2 linked regions of the Alligator mississippiensis genome follow. The protein of the gene in region 1 purifies or fractionates together with the protein of each later gene. This does not show direct contact. Links are inferred from orthologs where the notes say so. Each region holds a gene or a part of one and is shown on either strand. Other genes may lie near its edges.

Evidence for each region.
Region 2: the proteins of MMGT1 (region 1) and FLOT2 purify together in Homo sapiens (affinity purification with mass spectrometry; 3 studies listed by BioGRID and IntAct, with this or other methods). This does not show direct contact. The link is inferred for Alligator mississippiensis from reciprocal best matches to the Homo sapiens genes MMGT1 and FLOT2.

What each region holds. Positions count from the first base shown.
Region 1 is NC_081831.1:80,138,990-80,147,009, forward strand, and holds the start of MMGT1 (ER membrane protein complex subunit 5), read left to right. Parts: upstream 1-4,818; 5' UTR 4,819-4,867; coding exon 4,868-4,949; intron 4,950-6,666; coding exon 6,667-6,719; intron 6,720-7,606; coding exon 7,607-7,710; intron 7,711-8,020. Other genes in the region: SLC9A6 (sodium/hydrogen exchanger 6), read right to left, coding at 4,373-4,640. UniProt on the Homo sapiens protein: Part of the endoplasmic reticulum membrane protein complex (EMC) that enables the energy-independent insertion into endoplasmic reticulum membranes of newly synthesized membrane proteins.
Region 2 is NC_081837.1:1,222,050-1,230,033, reverse strand, and holds the start of FLOT2 (flotillin-2), read left to right. Parts: upstream 1-4,914; 5' UTR 4,915-4,962; coding exon 4,963-5,011; intron 5,012-7,031; coding exon 7,032-7,113; intron 7,114-7,984. Other genes in the region: PHF12 (PHD finger protein 12), read left to right, coding at 371-509, 1,005-1,339; DHRS13 (dehydrogenase/reductase SDR family member 13), read left to right, coding at 2,353-2,479, 2,559-2,677, 2,781-2,904, 2,979-3,290, 3,537-3,799. UniProt on the Homo sapiens protein: May act as a scaffolding protein within caveolar membranes, functionally participating in formation of caveolae or caveolae-like vesicles. May be involved in epidermal cell adhesion and epidermal structure and function.

The sequences.
Region 1 (8,020 bases):
CTGGATGCTGTTGACCAATTTTTCTACCTTGGCTCTACTGTTACCAGCAATGTAGATCTTGATGCTGAGCTCACTGGTAGAATCAGCAAAGCAGCCAGGAACTCTGGCCTTTTGTGAAACAGAGCCTGGAACAATAACAAACTGTCAATTAAAGTGAAAATCTATTTATGAGACATGTTTTATTCACTCTTCTATATGGCTCAGAAACATGGACAACCTATGTCAAACATATGCAGCTTTCATATCAGATGACTATGTAAAATTCTTTGCATAGACAGGGTGACAAATGTGGAAGTGTTAAATTGTGCTGCTATGTCACTCATGGGAATGTTGGTCATGTCAAGCAAATACAGGATCACAGGATCCCAAAGAATGTGCTGTACTCTGAAGCTCACAAAGGGTCTAGAAAGAGAAGCAGACCGCTGCGCAGATTTCAGGATGCTTGCAAAGATGACTTAGCATCCTTTGGAATCTCTGTGGGTGATTGGGAAAGGAGTGCAGAATGCTGCTCTGCCTGGCAGAGTCAGCTTGCAGATGGAGCAAGGTACTGCAAGGCAGACTGGATCAAGTTTTGTGATGACTGGCATCAGAGGAGGAAAGAACCTGTTGCTTGGATTCAGAGCGCTGCTAGTTCATGGGTGTGCGCTACCTGTGGGCACACCACAGCACTCACCACCACGTACACTATGCTCCATAAAGAGCAATGGTGCCAACTGTTTAGTACAAAAATCAGTAACTTCTACCAGGGTAACTTTGTCAGAAAACCAAGGCTCTGTCTGTACGAGGGCTGTAACAGACTTTGATCTTCTGTGTTCAAAGCACAGAGGCACATGCGTAATGCACAATCACTAGTGTTATGCTAATTCTTGCCCACTGACCATTACTTTATGCCCACAGATGGAAACAAACTTCTGCACTCTAAAGAACCCAAAACATATAACTTTAGAAGGCATTTTCTGTTTGGTTTTGTAGAAATCTACATTTCTCCAGCTGCCAGCTTGAATAGCTCAGCCATAAGCACATCATCAGGCACCACCAATTAGAACTAACAATTGCATAGAAAAATATAAAAAAAGAGACCTTCTATGTTGGCTACATAGCATTTGATAATGAAGACTCCTAAAATGTACTCAATAAGGCCTTGTCTAGACGAGGAGAAGCCTAGCCCAACTGCTCCCTCCGGCTTGATTAACTCACTCCACCCACACTCTTAACCCACTGAGGTCTGGTTTGGTCAAGTTACAGACTGTCAGGTAACCCAGGAGAAAGTGAAAGCAGTATCCCCCGCCTTGTGTTGGGTTCAATCATGTCATTTCAATCACGTCAGTGCTGCTGTAGCTCCAGACAATACAAAGCTACAACACTGATCTAAATCAGTCCTTCAGTGCTACTAAGTACTGCCCAATGAGACTGCCTATCTGCCCATCTCCCTGCTCAGCATCACAATGCTCAGCTTCTTTTTCCTGCGCACCTGCACCTCACTCTGGGCACCTTCCTTAGACAGCTCATTGAGCATTTTCATTAGCTCTGATAGGAATAACATCCCCATTTTGCTTATAGTTGTACAAGGAATCCAGGCTCACAAGCCGCTGTGCAACAGGTGGGTACGACACAGACAGGCATCTGCCCCTGTGACTTCCTGGGCTTGTCAAAAGGATGGATTACAGGAACTTTCAAGCCAGTGCCTTTTCTGTGAACAATCAGAAGTAAACAGTTGAGAAGTGCCACCGGGAATTCTGGCTGCTTGCCCACAAGCCGCTATCTCATATCATCACCACATTCAAACACACAAACACAGGGAAGTTGAACAAATACCAGATGCATGAGTAAAGAATGCAGAGTGAGAGTGCAGTTTGCTGGGTTAGCTCTGATTAGTAGAAAAACTAAATGAATCTGGACAAGAAGCATCACCATTTAAATTACTCAGCTAACTCCAGGGCCCACTGCCCATACCCTAGAGCACTCCCTGCTATAGCCCCCAAATACAGTTGATACTTGGAAGATACCAAGGAACAAAAGCCTAATCAGTTATGAACTAGAAACAGCTGGTTCTGAGTGACAAATGAAAAATTCTTAACATGAATCAAGAGAACATAGTAGATTGCATTGTACTTTCTTGTACACCATTACACATTCTGGAACCCACCCAGCTACTCAACAAAAACCTATAAAGGGTATTTGTCTCCACAGAGTCACTGCTAGGCAAGTACTCTACACCCTGAATAATGATTTACTCTGTGATTTCTACTCAGTGACTACCAAAGAAGAAGCCAGAGGTGGGATTAGGACCCTGATGACAAATGCTCTTAACAGGGCAATTTCACCAGCTCAAATTCAGATGCAGGGGGTGGGGGTGGAATTTCCAAAAAAATCTAAGGGACGTTTGAGCAAAAATAACTCTGAAGGAACCAACCTCACCCACACCTTCAAGTCATGGGATCTGTGCTCTCAACTTCCTTAGATGTTTAACAAGTGCCTCCAAGTGCTGAGGTTGGAAGAGGCTACTCGGAGAGGTGGTGAACGTCCATCCTTAGAAAATTGTAACAAGAGATTAAACAAGCACTAGGCTGGGATGGTGTAGCCAAGGAGGTGCCTACCTTGAGCAGGGTGTGGGACTAGATGAACTCCTGAGGGCCTTTGCAGCCCTACTTTTCTATGATTCAACCTTATGTATAGTCAGACCCCACTTTCAATGTGCTGCATTAATGCCAGCCCCTATTTACTGCAATGCAGTGAAACCGAACTGGCACAAAACATCCCGGGGTGTGCACGAGTCCCGAGTGCAATTCCTAAATCTTTGACACGTAGTGCAAATATTACCTGGTATACTAAGAGGATCACACCCATTATCCCTAGTGGGGAAATTAGCAAAGAGGCTGCATGGCAATTTGGGGAATCCCTTTATAAACTGCCTACATGTTCTGGCTGATGTCAGGAAAATCCCCGAATCCAGAAAGGGAAGCTTATGCCATGGGTGACCGGGGTTGCAGCCCAATCCGCTCAGACCGGGAACATAAGCAAGAGCTCAGCTGCTGCCCGTTCAGGAGAAAAAGCATCTTGGAACAAGGAAGAAGCTGAAGATGCAAGTACAGAGTGGAAAATCCCCAAATGCACAAGAAATTGAACTGGCAAGGCTGCTTTTTAGACACCACAGAGGTGACGCACCCACCCGAGAGCCTGGGTAAACACTTAGTTGCTTAGCTGGCAACTCCGCTGTGGCAGCAACACCATAACCAGTACGTGGCCTGGCTGACCACCAGCTCGGGTACGTCGGCACCAGCTGCAGTCACACCTCCGACTGCAGCACAGACGTCCCCACAAACCTGGGGAAGAGGTGAATCCAGGAGCTCTGCGGAAAGCAGGGCGGGTACGAAACCCGAGTTTGGATTCACCTCGCTAACCCGAGGACCCTCGATTCACTCGAGACGCTCTGAGAAGACTGTCACGGCAGGCACGTCCTGCTCGCCGAGTTATCCGGGCTGGGGGGGGGGAAAGTCTTTAACTAGGACCCACACTTGCTCAGAGAGTTTTCCTGGGTGAAGTGGGGGAAGTCTTTAAATCAGGACCCACGCTCATTTGGAGAGTTACCAGGGCAGGGGGGAGGGTCTTTAACGAGGACTGACACTTGTTTGGAAAATTATCCAGCATGAGGGGTGGGGGGAAGGTCTTTAAATCAGGACCCACAGTTGTTTAGACAGTTAGTCACAGGGGGGAAAGGTCTGTAACTAGGACCCATGCTCATTTGGAGAGATATTCAGGGCGGGGGAAGGTCTTTAATGAGGACCCACACTTGTTCGAAGAGTTATCCAGGGTGAGGGGCAAGGGAAGGTCTTTAACTAGGACCCTTGCTCGTTTGGAGAGTTATCCAGGCAGGGGGAAAGGTCTTTAAATCAGGACCCACAGTTGTTTAGAGAGTTATTCAGGGGGGAAGGTCTGTAACTCGGACCCACGCTCACGTGGAGAGTTACCAGGGCAAAGGGGAAGCTCTTTAACAAGGACTGACATTTGTTTGGAGAGTTATCCAGGGTGAGGGGCAGTAGGAAGGTCTTTAAATGCAGACCCACAGTTATTTAGAGTTATTCGGGAGGGGGGGGGGTGTTTAACAAGACCCACGCTCATTTGGGGAGGTATCCAGGGTGGGTGAGTGGGGGGAAGGTCTTCAAACGAGGACCCAGGCTCGGGGCGCAAGCGAGGTGCGGGGCGGCTGCGGGCCCACAGGGCTCGTCGAGAAGCGAAGCCCCACACAGGCGCCTCTAGAGACGGGGGACATCGGAGCGAGCCGGGCCCCTGCGAGCGGCCTCAGCACCCCCGGCCGGGCCCGCCGCGGAGAGGGAGGCCCGGGCGGGCGGGCGGGCGGCGGGGCCGGCCTCACCGTAGATCATGGCCAGGCCGGTCTCGTGCAGGAAGCGCGCGCGGCGGTGCTTGAAGAGCCAGATGGTGAGGATGGTGAGGGTGAGCAGCAGGATGAAGATGACGAGGTTGGCGCTGTCCTGCCGGTGGCTCTGCTCGGCCGCCCGCTCCGACACGATCTCCTCCTCCAGCGCCGCCGCGGCGGCCCCCGCCGCCGCCTCGCCCGCCAGCGCCGTCGCCAGCAGCAGCAGCAGCAGGGCCCGGGGCCCCGCTCCGCCGCGCGGCGCCATGGCCCGCCCCGAGCCCCGAGCCAGTCCCCTCAGGAGCCGCTCGCGCGAGACCAGGCCGCCGCCATGACAGGCCCCGCTGGAACAACCCCGCCCCGCCCCGCCCCGCGCACCCACTGCGCATGCGGGGGGAAGCCCCGCCTCTTCCGGCTCTTGCGTCATCGCCGCGCGCCGCCGGCCCGGGCGCCCCTGGCGGTGGGAGGCGGCCGGGGGGAGGCACGCAGGGCAAGATGGCGGCCGCCTCGCTGTGGAAGGGGCTGGTGGGCGTCGGGCTCTTCGCCTTGGCCCACGCCGCCTTCTCCGCCGCGCAGCGTGAGTCGTGACGTGTGACGTGACGGGGGGGGCGCGGAAACCCCTCGGCCCGCGGAGGGGGGTCCAGACTACGGGGGGGGGCGGCTGTCATTTTGTGGGGGAGGGGAGGGGGGTGTCTGGGTTCCCCCTCCCCCTCCTGCTCGCGGCCTTGGGCCCCGGGGGAGCCTGTGGACGAGGCCGAGGGCAGACGGCTGTGTGGGGCTGGGGGGCATGATGGCGAGGAGAGGCCGAGGGAGCTGGGCTGGTCTCGGCGGGGGCAGACGGCACAAGGAGCAATGGGCGCAAGCTGCAGCAAGGCAAGTTGAGGTTGGATATTAGGAAAAACTTCCTCCCTAGGAAAGTGCTGGAGTGGAGCAGGCTCCCCGGCGCGGTGGTTGGGAGGCCGTGCGTTTCCCTCCCCTGCTCGCTAGCAGCTGGTTCCCCTTTCCTCTGGGTTTATGTCCCATCCCTTTTTGGAGCCGTCCGCATCCGCCACATCTGCTGGTGACGAGCTCCACCCTTGAGCGAGACGCTGGGTGACAAAGGACTCCTTTGCGTGCATTTCAAACCGACGAGCCCTGCCCGGCCTCCTCCAGCCGGCACCGCCGCAGAGGTTTCCCCGAGGAGCCCGTAGCTTTCAATACTCGGCCCCGCCGGGGCCTTTCTTGACCTTTTGCAAGGGAAGGGATTGCTCTAGTTTTCTTCTGCGCTCAAAACATGAGTCGAAACCAAGAGCCAGCCTGTCCCCAGGGTGTCTCAAGGCTCGTCGGGGGGTGGGGGGGCTCCCGCCTGAGGAGATGAAGAACGCGGTGGCCGAGGGTGCGTAGTCTTTGGGACGAGCTCCCGGGCAGCTCGTCCGCTACAACTGGAGCCCACGTGTCTCTCTGAAGGCTCCTGCTACATGTGTTACGCGACTGTCTGGTGAATTGTGCAATCAGCGTAGAGCAGCCACAGATGCAAAGTCATTATCACACCGTAAAAACGTCCGTGCAGCTATAGAAAGAGTTGAGCAGCTACAAATTTAGTGCCTGACAATGTGCAACAACTCTAGAGTCGGTTTCTGTCTGGCTTTCATTTGAACATGGGGCAGGGGCCCTAAGCAGTCCATTTGCGTGGAGTCCTGCAAGGCGCCTGCCATGTTTTCCCATGTAAATGTTTATGCAGAACGCCGAGGGCGTTAAAGTAGGTAGGAAACCCACTAGACGTCAGCGCCAGTGTTACGTGGCCCCTTGACAGGCTCTCGCACAGCCCCAGGGGGCTGTGGCCTGCACTGGCGGGGAGCCCCTGGGCTGCAAGCGCACAGTACAAAACCAGGCACTTCGGTTTAGCAGCACTCATGAGTCACGCGGACAAGTTTGACAGGGAACAGTCAGACACAGTCGGATAGTACAGCTCGCTCTCCTGCTGAAACAGCTTTTGTATAATGGGAGAAGGAAAGTATGGGTGGTGCTGGCTGGCTGACAGTTCACTTGGCAATAGCCAGTCTTCATAGAGATTGCTCTGCGGACACTTGTTCTGCATGAAGGAAAAAGTGAAATCGTTTGTTGAGGCAGGTCAAAGATGCTGTGTGAAGCAGAGGATGTGGGAACAAAGCTAGATGCAGCAGACATGCATGAACCCCTTTTTCTAGGGCATAACAAGGAATCCTGGAGCTTACGTGAATTGGATGTTACAGAGAGTTCTGCCTCGAAGAATGTCCCTGATACATTACTAACCTACCAATACCTCTGTTTTGTAGATCGCTCCTACATGAGGTTAACAGAAAAGGAAGATGAAACATTGCCAATAGATGTAAGTTGGATGGTTGCAGCAGGGTGAAAGGGTTAAGAGTAACCACACAGTTTGGTCCTTGCTTTCTCTCCTGGGTTTCTGTCTTTTTAATGGGATTTTTAACTGCACATTCCTCTGGATTCTTATCTGCAGGCAGACATCTCGCTGCCAGCCCCAGCTTCCAGGAAGGTGTTACAGTGCTTGCAAAGGGTGCCAGTCAGACAGAGAGACAGACCCCCAAGCTGGACTTTCCTCCCCTTTGCTACCACGGTGGCTGGAGCACCTCATCCAGCAATTCCAGGCCTTAGAGTTAAAGCTGTGGAACATCCTCCTGTTCAGTCCTGCTCTCTGCAGCACAAATGCCCGCCTCCCTCTGGCTTGGCCAGCTGACATCAGCTTGATCAATACTCTTTTGGGCTGGCCTCGCCCTGGCACAACCTGCTTGAGGGCATTAGTTTTCTTAATACTGGTGACATGAAAAAAAATGAACAGTGAAGAAAGCAGGGGGGAGGAGAGAAAGAAGTGGTGTCACATTGCCATCCCTGGAGAAAGCATGGAGCCACTAACTTGCATTTGCAAGCACACACAACAGTGCAGGGATTTGCTCAAAGGATACAGCATCTTCCCCAAGAACCCCACCGCATGGATCAAACTAGCGTGTAGGGTACAGACCAAGCTCTGCCAACACGTAGCAGTGCTGCCCTGGGAGAGTTATTTAAATGTCTCTGTGCTTGTTTCTGCGCTCTCTGCAGTGGGGATGAGGTTGGCTGCTTACCTCTAAATAGTACTTTGCATGAATGAAGAGCAAAGGCAAGCGCTTGTTACTCGAAACATCTGCAGGCAGGACAGAGATGTGAGGGGTGTGCAGGCTGTAGTGTCTCATGCGTGGGATGGCTTTTCTGTTGCAGATAGTTCTTCAGACACTACTGGCCTTCGCAGTGACCTGCTATGGAATAGTACACATTGCAGGAGAATTTAGAGACATGGATGCCACTTCAGAGCTAAAAAATAAGTAAGTTGGTTCACATGCTTGGCGCCTGCACATTTCACAGCACACTCCCGGAGCAGCCACCTCAGGCTGGTTTTCCTCTGCCCGACACCTCCGTAGATGTTTACTGTAGTGGTACCAGTAGCTGCCTGTCTCTGCCTGTTCCCCGCCATTAGTGTCTGACGTGCCAGATATGGTGAGGCACGACGAATGACTGGGATACACTTTCTCTTCTTTCCCCCAACCCTCTGTGTCAGGTGGATGGAGCAGAGTAAGGAATAGGCAGATCTTAGAGACCATTCTTTTCCCACTGTCTCAGCACTGGAGGGAGTTT
Region 2 (7,984 bases), on another chromosome or scaffold:
CCCTGTTGGTAGGGTGGCTGGTAGCTGTCTCCGGCTGGCTGTAGGTGTTCTGTGCTGCAGGCACCACATGCTCAGTAGGAGGGAGACTGCTTTTTGCTGCGATCTCCTTAGTGGGTGGGTGGCCTGGGCAGGTGCCGTGCAGCTTGTCCCTGTCCTAAGGTTGCAGAGGCCATGGTGGGAACGGTTCTCACATGCAGTGTGTGCAGAGCAGCTTGGGCCACGCATGCACAGTCTGCTGCCTGCCACTGCCTGAAGCAGTGGCTTGGCATCTGGAGCAAGCTGGGCCTTGGCGGGTCCTTCCCCCACCCACACGTCGGCCTGGCCGAGGGGGCGTTAGGGGGGTGACGCGTGCCCTCCTCTTCCCTTCCAGAACACAAAGCATTACGAGCTGCTGAACTACAGTGAGCACGGGACGACGGTAGACAACGTCCTGTACTCCTGCGACTTCTCCGAGAAGACAACACCCACCCCTCCCAGCAGCATTGTTGCCAAAGTGCAGAGCGTGATAAGTAAGTCAGGGCAGAGCTGGCCCCTCTGCCCAGCCCGTGCTCACAGGCGGCTTCCGTCCAGTTTCCTTACAGCGTTCTGCTGGCAAAGAAGGGAGGGGGCTTCCCACAGCTCAACAGTGGCTACCGGCGCTCCGTTCCCTCAGTCTGCAGAGCCCTCTGCAGCAGTCAGCCCAGCCTCTGGGGCTGTTAACCTGAGCTCTGGTTCCCTTGCGCTCCTGGCCCTCTCCAGAAAGCTTCAGGTTTTGAGTTGGGTCCTGGCGGGCTGCGTCCACACATGCTTTCCTTGCACTCCTGGTCTGCGGCTCGGGCGTGGGTGCAGCCGAGCAATTCCTCTTCCCCTATACGAGGGCCGGATGTTTCTCCAGGGGCTCGCAGCAGCCTGGTTGACGGAAGGAGCGTTGTCTCCTCTCTACGGCGGAGTGAGACAAGCCTCCAGCAGGAGCGCGGTGCTGGGCCTGCTCACTGCGGCCTGCCTGACTTGTGCTTCTCTTCCAGGGCGCCACAAAAGCAGGAAGCAGGAAGAGGAGCCGCACGAAGACGCTGCTGTGATGAACTCGCAGGCGCAGGGGCAGCACCGCAAGCCCTGCAACTGCAAGGCCAGCAGCTCCAGCTTGATCGGGGGTAGCGGGGCAGGCTGGGAGGGCACGGCCCTGCTCCACCACGGCAGTTACATCAAGCTGGGCTGCCTGCAGTTTGTCTTCAGCATCACCGAGTTTGCGACCAAACAGCCCAAGGGGGACGCGGCCTTAGCACAAGACACAGACTTGGAGGAGAAGCTCCCCCTGAAGCCCCACCAGGTGCCCGTGCTGCGCTCCAACTCCGTTCCCTAGGAGCCCGGGCCGGGGCCCCGTGCTGCAGCAGGGGCCTCGCCGGAGACTCTTGCAATGCAAACATGTACAAACCCCGCGGGGATTTTCTACGCCGGCCCAGGAACCGTTCACGCCGTTTGCATGAGATGAAGAACGTTTCACTTTTTTTAATTATTTTCTTTTTTTGCTCAAGTTTTCGGGGCATTTGCACATATATTTGTACTATACATTTCATTTTAAAAGGAAAACTGCAGTGAGGCGAGGAGCAGGCGCTGTGGCCCGGCCCCCTCCGCCAGGCCCTTCCTGCGCAATTGTAAAATAATCAGAAACTTGTTCTATTTTGTGCCAGTGACAATAGTTTTATATTAAAAGAGAAAAATACAGTTTTCATACAGCAAATCTATACAATATCATTGTTTTATTTAATGTAAAGAAGCGCTATACTCCCCCACAGGCCTCCCCCCTGCTGTGGTTGCACTACAAGTTGCTACTGTGTATTATGGGCAATGAGAAACGAGTTCTTTTCCTGGCGTCCACCCTCTCTCTCTCTCTCTCTCTCTCTCTTTGCATAAGGAAAGTATTGGATTCTGTGTAAATACATCCGTGACGGCATTTTTCAATGTTTTTAAAGCTGTGTACAGTGCTCCATGTGGGATGACGTTGCCTCCGATTTGTCTATTGTAGCAGATTGTCTGTCGTAAGCCTGTCTGTCTCTTCCGTTGGCCCCCGCCCCCGACAGCTAGCTCCGATGTACATAGTCATTGTAATGTTTTAGACTTTACAGAAACTTTCCTGTATTCTGTATATAAAAAGCGAAATACTTCCCAGTCTGTTTCCTGCCTGTCTGTCCTCACTCTGTGACCACCACTGAGGAGCTCGGAGGAGACCCCCGGCCGGGCTCTGCCCCAGGCACGCAGGGCTGGAGGGGGGAGAAGGCAGGAAGCTTCCGAGGAGCTGGCTGCCGCGGCGGTGCCGGCGCTGGGCGGCGGGGAGGAGCGGGGCCCCGGGGCGGAGCCAGCGGCCCGCCCGGCGCCATGGCCGCGCTGCTGCTGCTGCCCGCGCTGGCGCTGGGGCTGTACGCGCTGCTCCACGCGCGCCTGGGCGGCGGGGCGCGCTGCCGCAGCCGGGCCGCCCTGCGCGGCCGCACCGCGCTCGTCACGGGTGAGCGCCGAGCCCCGGCCCCGGCCCCGGCCCCGGCCCGCCCGCGCAGGGCCCCGCTCACGCCGCGCTGCCTCCGCAGGGGCCAACGCCGGCATCGGCCGCGCCACCGCGCTGGACCTGGCCCGCCGCGGCGCCCGCGTCGTGCTGGCTTGTCGCAGCGCCGAGCGAGGGCAGGCGGCCGCCCGCAGCATCCGCCAGGTGGGACCCCTAGCCCTCGGGCTCCAAGAGCTCTCCCTGGGCCGGGCGCGGGTGCCCAGCCAGTGCCCGCATCCCGGCCCCCCGTCTCCCCCTCTCCCCGCAGGACACCGGGAACAGCGACGTCCTCTTCATGAGCCTGGACCTGGCCAGCCTGGACTCCGTGCGAGCCTTCGCCGAGACCTTCCTGCGCTGCGAGCCCCGCCTGGACCTCCTCGTCCTCAACGCAGGTGAGGCCCGCGGCTCGCGCCTGGCACCAAAGGCCTGCAAAGCCTGCCTGCGCTGGAGCCGCCTTCCCTTGCAGGCATCGCGTCCGGGGGCCGGCGGTCGGACGGCTGCAACCTGGTGTTCCAGGTGAACCACCTGGGCCACTTCCTGCTGACGCAGCTGCTGCTGGAGCGCCTGAAGCACTGCGCGCCCAGCCGCGTCGTGGTCGTGGCCTCCAGCGCCCACCGCTCGGGGCGCATCGACTTTGAGCGCCTGGGCCGGCCGGTGGAGGGCGTGCTGCAGAACTTCCAGGCCTACTGCGACAGCAAGCTGGCCAACATCCTCTTCGCCCGGGAGCTGGCCGGCCGGCTCGAGGGCACCGGCGTCACCTGCTACGCGCTGCACCCAGGTGAGCCTGCGCCGCCTGACCTCGGGGCTGGTGCTGCCTCGGGTCTGCCCGAGGCAGGGCGCGGAGTCCCGAGGCTCGGCCGCCTCGTGCTGTGCTGCAAACTGGGGACGTTGGGGTGCAGGGGTCCGGTGCTGGGAGAGTGCTTCCCTGTGTCCCATGCTGACGGAGCTGGCGCAAGGCCGCAGGGCTTCCCCGAGCTCTGCCCAGCCGCTCGGGCACCGTGGCATTGACCACCTTTGCCCGCAGGGGTCGTGAACACGGCGCTGTTCTCCTTCGTCCCTGCCTGGCTGTGGCCGCTTTTCGTGCCCTTCTCTTGGCTCTTCTTCCGAGACGCCGTGAGCGGAGCCCAGACCTCCATCCACTGCGCCACCCAGGAGGGCATCGAGGCGCTCAGCGGACGCTACTTTGCCGACTGCCGCCCGCAGGAGCCGCGGCCCCGCGCCCGGGACGACACCGTTGCCAGGAAGCTGTGGGAGGTCAGCGAGAGGATGGTGGGGCTGGCCGCGTAGGGCGCTGCGCATCTCGGTGCCGACGGGGACCATGGGCAGGGCCCGAGCGGTGTCGTGCCAGCCGGGCGGTGGGCACAGGGAGGCTGTGCTGAAGGGGACCACACGTGCAGTCTGGGGCTGGGCTGCACTGGGCTTGAATAAAGCAGGATGCCTGCACCTCTGCACGGGGGAGTCGTTCCTGCGCCGCGCCCGGCACCGGACCAGCCCCTCGGCGGGACGCAAGAGCAGGTCCTGCCCAGTCCCGCCGTGCCCGCGCAGGCGTCCACGTGAGAACATCACCGCAGCAGGCCGTGTCGCTCAGCGTCCGCGTGGCCGAGGCAGAGGGAGGGCGAGCGCGTCCCAGCAGGGCTGGCCCCCCTCTCCCACTCGCAGCCTCCTGCGTTCGGGTCCGGACGCGGAGGCCGATCCCCACACTGCCTGCTGCCCCTTTCCTCCTGCGCTGCGGCTGCGTGAATCTGGCTGGACGTCCGGTGCCGCGCGGGGGAGACAACTGCCTCGTGTGTGTCTCGGGCGGCCTCGGGGATAGCGACGCCGGACTCCACCGACTTGCTCTTCACCGGTTAGCCTGTTGTGACCGTCGAGCCCCTTGCAGGCGGGCCGGGCCCACGAGGGAGCCCCCATGGCCGCCCGCTGCCCTGCTCTCCTCCAGCGTCGGGGGCCCGATTCGGGTGCGAGGGGAGCGGTTTCCCCTCCGCATCCATGTGCGTCCTGGGGCATCAGGCCGGGCGGGCTCCCCTGGCACCCGGGGTGCAAGGGACGTGTGGCTCCTGCGCCCACGTGGAACTGCATCCCCTTGCACACGTGCCATAGCCTCTGGGAAGGATGTGTTGTGGGCCTGCGGGACACGTGTGTGCATGTGCACTGGCCTACGCATGCACACATCTGGGCAGGCCCTGAAGGGCACGCGTGCACCTGTTCGCACGCCCGGCCTGATGCGACCTCAGGGAGAAGGGAAAGGGGGACGCAGGCGCATGCGCACGGGGTATCGCGCGGCCCCACTTCCCAGACCTCCCCCCCGACCTTCCCAACATGGCGGCCGGGGGAGTAGGGGGGTGGAAGTGGACGGACCCTCCCCGTGACGCACTTCCGGGCGGGCGGGGGGCGCGGGCGCGGGGGGTTGTGGGATCGCGGGGCGAGGCCGGGGCAGCGGCCGCGGCGGCAGGATGGGGAACTGCCACACGGTCGGGCCCAACGAGGCGCTCGTCGTGTCGGGTAGGGGCCGCGCGCGGGGCCAAGGGCGCGGCGCAGGGCAGGGGGGGCACCGGGCGGCGCTGGGGCAGCTGTCGCGCGCCCCCCGCCCGCGGGCAGGCCCGAGGAGGGGGGGTTGGAGCGGGCGGCTCGGGGCCGGCCCCTGCCTGGCGCCGCGCGGGGACTGCAGGTGCGGAGCGTGTGCCCTGGGCGGTTTCCGAGGTGCTGGCGCCGGGACGGCTCTGCGCCGCGCAAACGCCCTCCGGCTGCTCGCTGGCTGCAGGGAGAGGCCGCCCGCCCGCCCGCAGCGGAAAGCAGCTCTGGGCGCCGCGGACGGGCAGGGTCCGGCCGGCACCTGCCGGGGATGCCGCGTGCGCGTTGCGGGTGTCGGAGGAGGCCGGCGCGCTGGTGCTGTGCCGCGGCCGCGCTGGCAGCGAGCTGTCACCAGGCCGCAGCCTGTCCCTGGAGACGGCGCTTGCCCTGTGCAGCAGCGGGCCGAGTGTTGGGGTGCCGCGCGGGGACGCGCTGTTCGCAGGCACGGCCTGCTGTCACGCCAGCCTCCGCTGATCCCCGGAGCGCTCCCTCCCTCCCTCCCTCCGCACCGCAGCTGCGGGCTGGGCTTGGCTCTCCCTTCGTCCCGAGCCGGCTGCACTCGGGCTTCCTGCCCTCGGTGGGGCTCGTCCTCCAGCGCTGCCCGTGTCCGCATCGCGGCTCTTGGGGCAGCGGCAGGAGACTCCCGCTGTTGCCTCTACCGGTCTCGTGCGGTGCCTTCGGACCTGGGAGCTCTGCCGCCGGCACTGGGCCCCTTCCCCTGGACGGGTGCCAGGCACTGGGGAAGGAGCCGGCCGGCGGGGCTGGGGGCTTCCCAGCAGGCTCTCGAGGGCTGTCAGTGCAAAGCAGCTGCTCCGGGGAGAGGCTGGGAGATGTGCGCCTGGGAGACTGCGGGCCGGGCCGGGGTGCAGCCAGCCTTGAGAGCTCTGCCGCCCTCGGGGGCACGGCACACCAGCCTCGGGGCACGCGCGTGAGCTCCACTTCTCAACTCCCGCCAGCTCCTGGTGAACGGGTGTCCTGGGAGCCCGCCCTGGGTGCCGCAAGCTTCTGCAGGGCGCGGCTGCCTCTTGTCCCCGCTTGGCCCCTTGGCTTCAGCCCTCCATCCATGTGTTCAGCCCCTCTCCCCCAGACCTAGCAGAGCTCCCTGCCGCTTGCTCAGTCATCATGTGGCGGGGCTGCCCCTCCTGCCAGGTTGGCTCAGCCCACAGGTGCTGTTGGCCGGTGTCCGGCTCAGAGCGGGTCGTGCCTGTCGGCCGGAGCCAGAGCTGCACGACGTGGAGTTAACGGCGCAGCAGGGAAGTGCTGGCAGGAGTCCCCTTGCCTTGACGGGCTGCAGGGAGAGGCCGGGGCCAGGCTGTACGCTAAGAGGGGGCTGGGTCCGCGCGGGGCGTGGGAGGCCTCCGAGCATCAGCTGTTGTGGAGCCAGCTGCATTTGGAAAGTGGCGCCTCGGCCGTGCCAAGATGGAAAAGCCCCGTGTCGAGGCCCAGCCGCCTCCTGTCTGCTGCATCTCGCTGCGGACACGGCGCGTGGACGCTGCCTCCTAACTCAATAAGCTGATGGCTGCATGCAGCGCTGCTGCCTGAGGAAGGCAGAGAGGGGAGGAGAGGCGTGCATGTGTGTGGTGCCGTGTGTGGGCAGTGGGTACGAGCTCCTCAGGCAGGGAATGCCGTTGTGCTGCACTCTCAGAGGAAGGTGACCTGGGGCCAGCCCCATGCGGGGGAAGCTTCCTCCTGCCTGTCCTGCGTGCGCTGCTCCGGGGCCCCCCGGCAGGTTTTCCCTGGCAGTCCCGGTGCTGTAGCCCTGAGCCAAGGCTTTGTTGCCTCTCTTGCAAGCATGGCAGCTGGGTTGAACCTTGCTGCTGGGCAGAGCGCTGCTGCCGTGGCTCTCCAGCTGGCTGCAGGCCGCGAGGCGGGACACGGATGTGGTGCTGCGCGGGGAGCGTGCCCCTGCATGGCGGCACCCTCCACCCTGGCGCTCTTTGCTCTGCTGCAGGTGGCTGCTGCGGCTCCGACCAGAAGCAGTACGTGTTCGGGGGCTGGGCCTGGGCCTGGTGGTGCGTGTCGGACACGCAGAGGTAAGGAGATGACCTCCGGGCGCGTGGCTCGTGGAGCAGGGGCTGGGTCAGTGGCACCTTGAGGAACGTGGGATCCACCAGACGCGGTGGGAGCCCAGCTCGCGGCTAGCAGCCCACCCCTCCGGTGCTTGCTGCACGTGGCTCTGGCCTCACAGCTTTTCTGCCCCGGTGCTGCAGCCGGGGGAGTCAGGCAAAGTGCTTGCTGCACTGAGTTCAGACCAGGCCACACGTGGCCGGTGGGACTGGAGGAGCCTAGAGACGCCTCACCCACCTGTGGCAGGTGCCTGCGGCAGTGGCCAGGGAATATGAGTGGTTGGAGCTCGTGTCCTGGAGGTGCACTGACCCTTGTTGCTTCCCACTCTAATGGCTGCTCAGGGTGGGCCAGCACACCGGTGGGACCCTGGGGTGCCCTATCCCCCTGTCCCTGGGACTCGCTTGCCTTGCCTTCGTTGCTGTGCCTGTCTTGGAGCTAACGTGCTATGACGTGCTGCTGTTGCTCTGCTGTAACCCCACGGGCTGCAGAGCCCAGGGCATTGCCCTCTCCCTCACTCGGTCCTCTCCAGTCCCTCCCCCCATCCCCATAAGTAGGAACTAACTGGGGAAAGGAGAGACGAGACTTTCTGGTTTTGCAGTGACAGGGAAGTGGCCCTGCCTGGCCACTCTGCTCCCTGCAGGCGGGGTAGCCGGTGACTGCCCTCAGCATTGCAGGAGGCCCAGGATTGCTGGCAGGGTGGGTGCAGCTCCCTCCCCTCCTTGTAGCTGTCCTTCCCACCTGCCCCCCAGGCTGCTGCCAGCAGGCTCCCAGCTCTGGTGTGATGCACCCTTGGCATGGAGGCACTGCCACTGCATGCTGAGCCTTGCACTCGTGCTC